Linked DNA regions of Caenorhabditis elegans. The protein of the gene in region 1 purifies or fractionates together with the protein of each later gene. This does not show direct contact. Each region holds a gene or a part of one and is shown in the gene's direction. Other genes may lie near its edges.

Evidence for each region. The genes of interacting proteins can lie anywhere in the genome.
Region 2: the proteins of pfn-2 (region 1) and lbp-2 fractionate together in Caenorhabditis elegans (co-fractionation; one large-scale study listed by BioGRID). This does not show direct contact.

The regions. Positions count from the first base shown.
Region 1 is NC_003284.9:5,352,413-5,356,603, reverse strand, and holds pfn-2 (Profilin-2), read left to right. Parts: upstream 1-2,531; 5' UTR 2,532-2,549; coding exon 2,550-2,672; intron 2,673-2,758; coding exon 2,759-2,930; intron 2,931-2,976; coding exon 2,977-3,077; 3' UTR 3,078-3,086; intron 3,087-3,150; 3' UTR 3,151-3,501; downstream 3,502-4,191. Other genes in the region: chtl-1 (Choline transporter-like protein 1), read left to right, coding at 298-399, 456-527, 598-707. UniProt on the Caenorhabditis elegans protein: Binds to actin and affects the structure of the cytoskeleton. At high concentrations, profilin prevents the polymerization of actin, whereas it enhances it at low concentrations. By binding to PIP2, it inhibits the formation of IP3 and DG.
Region 2 is NC_003284.9:3,258,184-3,262,265, forward strand, and holds lbp-2 (Fatty acid-binding protein homolog 2), read left to right. Parts: upstream 1-2,426; 5' UTR 2,427-2,618; coding exon 2,619-2,936; intron 2,937-2,992; coding exon 2,993-3,106; intron 3,107-3,152; coding exon 3,153-3,206; 3' UTR 3,207-3,287; downstream 3,288-4,082. Other genes in the region: lbp-1 (Fatty acid-binding protein homolog 1), read left to right, coding at 975-1,286, 1,345-1,458, 1,517-1,570. UniProt on the Caenorhabditis elegans protein: May play a role in sequestering potentially toxic fatty acids and their peroxidation products, or it may be involved in the maintenance of the impermeable lipid layer of the eggshell.

The DNA.
Region 1 (4,191 bases):
AAATTGCTGTTTTTGAAAACTCACGTTTCTCACTTCTTTTATAGTTTTAGAAAAAATTAATTTTCCACACAAAATATGGAAAAACTAAACAAAATAAGCCTAAACAACTTTTTAAGCTAAAAGTTTAGCACAATTTAGCACAAGTAGCACACATTTTAAAGCTAATTTTTTGCACTCTCTCTTTATAGCACACTAAAAAGCCAGTATTTCATTTTTCAGAAAACTCCCAAACCACAATACTCTTTTCAAAATTTTTTTAAAACACAACATTAAATGAAAAATGCGTTTATTTTTCAGGCATTCTCAGTTTCTACTACTTTTCCGGACGATGGGTTGTTGAAGGTGTTCCGAAAGTCGATCTCTACTACTATTTTGTGCCAATTGTCATTGTGGTCATTGGTAATACTTTGAGCAGTCATTTTTCGACAAAAAATAAACAAACAATCCCATTTCAGGCAGTTACTTCATGGCCGACCTGTTCTTTGATGTCTACGAAATGGCTGTGGATACAACGTTCATTTGCTTCCGTAAGTGCAAACCACTTTGATGAATTTGATTTTTTTTTTCGACAGTTCCCTAAACATTCTCAATTTTCAGTGGAAGACAGCGAACAAAACGATGGAAGCCTTGAGCGACCGTTCTTCATGTCCGAAAAACTACTTGAAATTCTTGGCAACAAAAATGACATCCCCCTCCATTCAAAATGATCTCAACCCGAAACACCCATCCCTGTGCATATCAGCTTTAAAAGCCAAATTCTCATGTGTAATGATTAACTTATACATCCCGTGGTACATATTTTTGCACACGTGTACAGATAGAATTTTCAATTTTCATTTTCTTGACTCTTAGACTTTTACGGTTTTCAAAAATACCCACATTTTTCCTGTTATCACTCTGTCATCTCATGTAATCGTTTATCACTCTATTTTTTATTCATGAAGCACATGAACACATTTACACATTTTCGAACCATTTTTTTGTCGATCACGGCGCACCTCGCAACAAAACAAATTGTTGCGTTCAAAGATGTGTGACCAAACAACAATATGTTTTTCCTTTTGGCGACGTGAATAACGTAACATGTCGTGAGAATTGCACGTGCGCTCTATTGACAATTTTCAGAATGATTGTTGAATATTTCAAATTACGAAATGTTTCTAGAACAATCACTATCGAACGCAGACCATTTGTCATTCTGCCACGGGCGCCGAGGCACCGCTGCTATCGCTCCATCCTCATATACACACACATTCACCTGTTTTTGCCGTTTAGTGTCGCGCGCGCGCTCACCACTTTTCCAAATAGTTTGCACTGTTTCCACAATTCACTGCTGCTTTGCTCTTCGCTTTCCTATGAGGTTCCGGCTCATTCTTCCCATTTATCACGTAGTAGTCAGGCAAAGTTTAAGTCGCATTTCTAATTTGAGAATATTATATGATTTTGATTGAAAATCCGTTAAAATTGTAAAAATCTAGTTTTAATATTTTATCGTTCTCTAAAAACCTTATACGACCTGATTTTTATTACCAGCCCTGCTTCCTCCAGTAACATCATTTTATTGTCAAAATTGATCCGCGTGTTCATGTTTATAATCTTGCCCTACATAGCTACAACCTAGGCCAGCCTATTCAGCTTTTCGGCCAAATGTTTAGGCATTCTGTAAAATTTGGACGCTTTGCAACAAGAACACCCGCGCCGTTTTGCAACAGAGACTGCATTTGGGCTGTGAGGTCTAAAGCTGTGGTCTAAGAGCGCTGGTTGTTCATCTCCGCCTGTGTTTCTACTTCTTTAGTCCTGCCTGTGTTTCTCCATCGTTTTCCATTTCTTTCACCACGACCACCCCCACTGTGTCCACTGGCCGGTCCGTCGTCCCCGCCGTGTCCCGTCCATCCATCCGTCCGTGAGATGCGGCGTTGTGTGTTGGCGAGGGGCGAGGGGCGAGGGGCGAGGGAGAGTGTCTTTTCGGTGGTCTGCGCGGGTAGTGTGAGGCGGAGTGTATTGGGAATGAGAGGAGACAGGAGTGCGGGGTGTTTGTGTGTGTATGTGTCTATGGAACAGACACCGAGCATCGATCGATGGTATTATGTGTCCACCACATCCATGGTTGATGCATTATTTTCATCAAGCTTCGAATTTTTCAACTCTGTCCACCCAAGCATTTCCCTTTGTGTTATCAACATATTCCGGCGCGTGTTCTCTTTTTCCTACACGAACAATACACACACCAACGTTTTGATAACGGTCTTCAAACCGGCGGCTGTCACCTTCATTCTCCGATTGTCTTAACTTGTTGGTGTGTTGTTCACGCCGAAAACAAAAAAAATTCCTCCAATATGATGTTGCCATCACTTTATTTCGACAAAATCAAAATTTCTATCAATAACACTTTTCTTTTTTATTTTTCTCCCTCCCCCTCGCGCCTGCTTCCCGAAATGATTCATAACGCCTGGGGTCCTGATTCATATTCCCGTCCGCATCATTCTTTTTTGTTCCTCTCCAAACGTACTCTCTATATTATTTTATTTCAGAACCAGTACACCTACAACATGTCTGGCTGGGACGACTACATTAAGCTTCTGTTCGGAAAGAGCCCAGCCATCAAGAGAGCCGCTATCATCGGATCCGACGGGTCGGTTTGGGCTAGAAGTGGGGATGCCAACGCTTTCCGGGTAAGACGTTTTTTTTTTTTAATTTTTTAATGACTTTTTTAAAACTCCAAGGATTATTTAAAATCACCACAAAATTATAATTTCAGGCTACTGAGGTAGAGCTCAAACGTTTTGCTGCTCTGTTCAACGACATCAATTCGGTGCCTGGAACCGGCGCTGATTTGGAAGAAATTCACTACATTGTTCCCCGCGTCGAGGAGAAGCTCATCTTTGGAAAGAAGGAGCAAACCGGATTTTTCGCTGCCAAGACAAACCAAGGTGACCGAGTTCTTATTTCTTCCCAAAACGATGGTTTTTTTTTCAGCTATTGTGATTGCAATGTACGAGGGAGACAACGCTCAATCGGCTTCAGTCCGTGCCGGCGTCGAATACATTGCCCAGTACCTGGCCAGCTCTGGTTATTAGATACCTAAGGTAACAAAATACTTTTTGTTGGAATAGTTGATGAACCAATTACTATAAACAGTCTTATTTTCAGATTTGGAAGCAGTACGGTACCAGTTGCAACTCGATTCCCTTATGCTGCGCTATTCTCGTTTTTGTCTATGTGTGCGTGTTTCGCAATTCTTCATGTTCTATTCGGTCAAATTAATTAACAATTCATTGCTTGCTATATTTTACTCTCGTTCCTTACTATTTGCTCTCTCAAATTTTCTTTTATTAAAATATTCTTTTCACTCACTTCATTTTTCAATTTTCGAGGTTTCGGTAAGTCATTCCGAATTGATTCCAATTTCCCCACCCCCATCCCATTCATCCCATTCTTTTCTTAAGTGATTCTTTGAACACGGATTTTTCCTTTTTTTATTTTATAAATCGATTTTCGTTGACGATCAGCGCCTGATTCATACATTAATAAAACATGAGAGACGCATAAATGTAGAGAAAGAAAACTATGGAAAAATTGAAGTCAACTGCAAAGAATAACTGGATCCAAAAGAATGGATACTGGACTAACTTGAAGCTTTCGATAATCATAAGATTTTAGAGAAAATATCTCTCATAAAATTTTTTAATGTTTGACCCAGAAATATGGTACCTCCTGGTCTCGACAAGACTGCTCATTTTTGATGCAAAAAATTATGCTTTTCTTAAAAGGTACCGTATTTTTAGGTTTTGTTAATTTGAAGCTTATCGAAAAAGAAAGCAAAGTAGTGCACGTGAAGATTTATGAAGTGCGTTAAATTTAAAAAAGAATCAAGGAAAATTCGGCAAAGACAAGTTGAAAGTGTTACCAGGTTATACGACAATTGGATATTTTTTGGAAGTTTTTGCAGTTACTGGTTTCTGACATTTTTGGCTATTGGGAATTGCTAGCTCCTCGACATTTAAGCAATTGGCAATGTCGGCAAATGCTAGTTTCCTAATTTTTCAAGCACGCAAAAATTTTGATAATTTATGGTTTTTGAAATTCTCAGTAATTTGCCGTATTGGAATTTGCTGATTTTATTTGTGTTTTCTCGAGAAATGTTACACAAAATTTTCTTTGTATTTCATGACTACTAGAACTTATTCAAAA
Region 2 (4,082 bases), 2.1 Mb from region 1:
CATGATCTCACAAAAAAAAACGAATGAACAGATGGAGGTCAAACATCGAAAGTGGACATAGAACAGATTAGCCAAGGTACAAAGTAGATGGGTCTATTGTAGCCCAATAAAACGTGAGAATCGTATTGGCCAATTTACGGGAAAGGCCATCTGGAAAACAATGATCTCTAATATGAATTCTGTCATCTGGGAATAGGGCTCAAACATTTGAAAACCAGAAAAAAAAACAATTTTGTGTCTTAAAAATTTTAGCTAGTGTTGAAAGTTTAAAAATATTTTTGAAAAATTGTGTTTTATGGGATCCTTACAATATTTTTTCGTTTTCATTTTGAAACCAAAAAAACCCAAAACCGAATGTACCGAAATTCTGCGGCAAAAAAACTTTTTTTCTGAAGTCGTTTTCTTTTTCTGTGGGTCGAATTCTATATGAATAAAAATTTTCATAATTTTTTCCGGTAGTTTTTTTTGGTTTTCCAAAGTCCCAGCCCTGCATGGATTGTGTTTTGAACTGCAGACCTGAAGACCTGTTGCCGTATTCAATGTTTGCTGAAGAAATGGAGAATCATACTATAGACTATGAAAGATAATGATAACATAAAATTATATCAACCAAATAAGGAAATTGCAATTCGATTCGCCTTAAACCTTCAACGAAATTATTTTGAGTTGATTGTTCGGTCTTCCAGGACCCGATTCATGCAACTACTCTCTTCAAAAATATCCGAACTGACCCCAACACACGGAACAAAAAAAATCTGCCCCGAATCATTTATGCTACACTCTCTTTCGATACCCATCCGAGTCCAGCCGTCCATCTCTGCTAATCGTCAGCGCAATCGACATGTGGGCTGCACTTCTTGCCGTACAATGTTGTTTACGACTGTGCAAGTAGGCGGGGTCCACGCAGACGACGTCGACACACAGCCCACAGTCCTGCCAAGACGTCAGTCGTTCATTCATCGACCTAGCCAACCATGTGCGCTAAAATCGCTCTTCTCCTGGTTCTTGTTGGAGCTGCTTCAGCTGCTGTTCTCCCTGATAAGTTCTATGGAACTTTTGACTTGGACCATTCCGAAAATTTTGATGAGTATCTCACTGCTAAAGGATACGGATGGTTCACTCGTAAACTTGTCACTTTTGCCACATTCAAAAAGGTGTTCACTAAGACTTCCAACAAGAACCTCTTTGACTACTCCAACTTGACATCAAAGAAAGACGTCCATTACAAGAATGTCCAACTTGGAAAAGCCTTCCAGGGAGAAGGACTTGACAGCACCAAACACGAGGTACGCTTTTGCAAGTTTTCAAGTAACCTTTCAAATTGATTAATTAATTAATTTTCAGATCACTTTCACCCTCAAGGACGGACATTTGTTTGAGCATCACAAGCCACTCGAGGGAGGAGACGCCAAGGAAGAGACCTACGAGTACCTTTTCGATAAGGAATTCCTTCTTGTGGTAAGTTATAAACATTTTTTAAAAACCAATTTCACATTCTCATGATTGTAATTTTCAGCGCATGAGTTTCAATGGAGTTGAGGGACGCCGATTCTACAAACGACTCCCATAAATATTCAGAAACTATTGTAATTTTTGTATGAATTGATTTCTCAATGTACTTTTTTTGCCACTGATGTATTTCAAGTTTCAAATAAACTGAAAAGTTAGATCGATTCTGTAATGTGATATGGGGCAAAAAATAAGAAAAATAACGCGGTTCTTTTGTGATTCATGCTGCATAGCCCTCTGAAGTTTTTTGTTTGGGAAATGTTTTCACTGGTTTAAAAATGTACATATTAGGAGTTCTAGAAAGCAAAGTTGATTAAAATTTGAATTTTTGTTAACGTGTAAAAGTGACACAAGTGTTAAAAAGAAAATTTTGCACATTGAAGACTTGAAATTAAGAATCAAATTATCAGATGAATTGAACCTATGCTGGAATCAAAACATGAAAGTTCGATTGCGCCGTGATATTTGCAAAAACGTAATTCAAAACACAAAAAGGACACAACCAGTTTAAAATTTCGGGTGGGTCAAAATCCAATCACTTTTCGGTTTTTTTTTTTCGATGTTGTGTTCGAAAGTTTTCTATAAAATGGAGTTTTTTCTACTCTTTCGTATGCTCTTTTTTATTTTTTTTTTCCTGATTTTCACATTTAATTTCTGAATAAGGTACCATTAAATAAGAACCATTTCTCAAAATACATAGTTTAATAACTAAAATCATTGGATCTTGAGGACCTCATTAAAAATATTTTTTTAAGTCTTAAATTGTTTGATGTGCAGTCAAAAAACGTAGCAGTTTTCTTTTCAATTTTCTTAACGCGTTTAAATTTATTTCGACAAAATTCATTCTGCATTTCAACAAGTAATCGATGAATTGTTTTCGTTCGGTCTCTTAAATTTTGTTTATTATTAGCTTCCAGGTGTTGTGAGGATTTTTGAAAATCAAGTAAGTCCGATCATCAATTTGTTGTTGCCATCCGTGCCGTGACCCTATATTACACACGTGGCTGACCTCAGTTTTATTGTGTTGTCGATTGAGCAACTGGGCGGAGTCTTGATCAATCTTCATTTCTGTGGACACTTCAGTCATTCAGTCATTGACTTGAACAAAAATGTCTTCGAAATTCCTCATCTTACTCGCATTTTGTGGAGCTACCCTTGTGGCTGCCGAACAGCTTCCAGAAAAGTTCTATGGAACCTTCGACTTGGATCACTCTGAAAATTTTGATGAGTACCTCACTGCCAAAGGATACGGATGGTTCACTCGAAAGCTTGTAACCTTTGCGACATTCAAGAAGGTTTTTGCCAAGAATGCTAACAAAAACCTCTTCGACTACTCCAACTTGACATCGAAAAAAGATGTGTTCTACAAAAACGTCCAGATCGGAAGCAAGTTCGAAGGAGAGGGTCTTGATAACACCAAGCACGAGGTGAGTTCCATGCCATGTACTTTTTATTTTATTTTTATTTCAATTATAATTTTCAGGTTACCTTCACTCTCAAGGACGGACACTTGTTCGAACATCACAAGCCACTTGAAGAGGGAGAATCCAAGGAAGAAACCTATGAGTATTACTTTGATGGAGATTTTCTTATTCAGGTAAAATTTGGTCAATCTATTTGACATACATTTTTGTTAATTACAGAAGATGAGCTTCAACAATATCGAAGGCCGCAGATTCTACAAGAGACTCCCATAAAAGTTTAAACTTATTCTATTGAAATTTTCTTAAATTTGCAATTCAATTTCATTTCCGAAAAAAATAAATTTATTTTCAAGCAATCTTCTGATGTTTTCAATTTGGAATCTTGGTGGAATGTATTATCCCAATTATTAGTTTTTAATTTTCTACAGATTAAAAAATGAACATGTTGAGGTAAGAAACTTAACACTAGAGTATGATCTCGCTGCCAAATTCTGCAACAACCATTATTTAAACTACAGTTGTCGTTTTCTTTATGTGATTTCATCTAAACGTTGAGTAGCACCAGTGGGAAATTGGCAAAAAACTACGCCTATGGTGCCAAAAGGACCAAATATCAATAATTTTGGAAAATTGTTCATTTACTGTTGAAAAGTGACTCCGTTATTGCCACTCATAATTTTGAAAGTGGACCAAAAAAATTTTCTACTATTTTTACACATTAATTTTGTTTCAATTATTTATGCAGAGATAAAGATCACTTAGCACCTATATTCTACATGTTCTATCATACAAAAAAAAGTGCCATTAATGTGCTAAAAATGTGCTGAAAATGTGCTAAAAATGTGCTAAAAATGTGCTAAAAATGTGCTAAAAATGTGCTTGAAATGTGCTAAAAATGTGCTAGAAATGTGCTTGAAATGTGCTAAAAATGTGCTAAAAATGTGCTAAAAATGTAATTTTAAAAAAAACTTTCGTACAAGCTATTATACTTGATTGGCATTTTTTGGTATTTTTGACTATGCTAAACAGTTTTCTGAAATAAAAAAGAATGACTCCATATGACTTTCCAGGACTTTTGAATTTTTGAAAAAAACCAGCTTTTATATATTTTTATCATTAAAAAAAAAAAACTTCCGTACAAGCTAATAT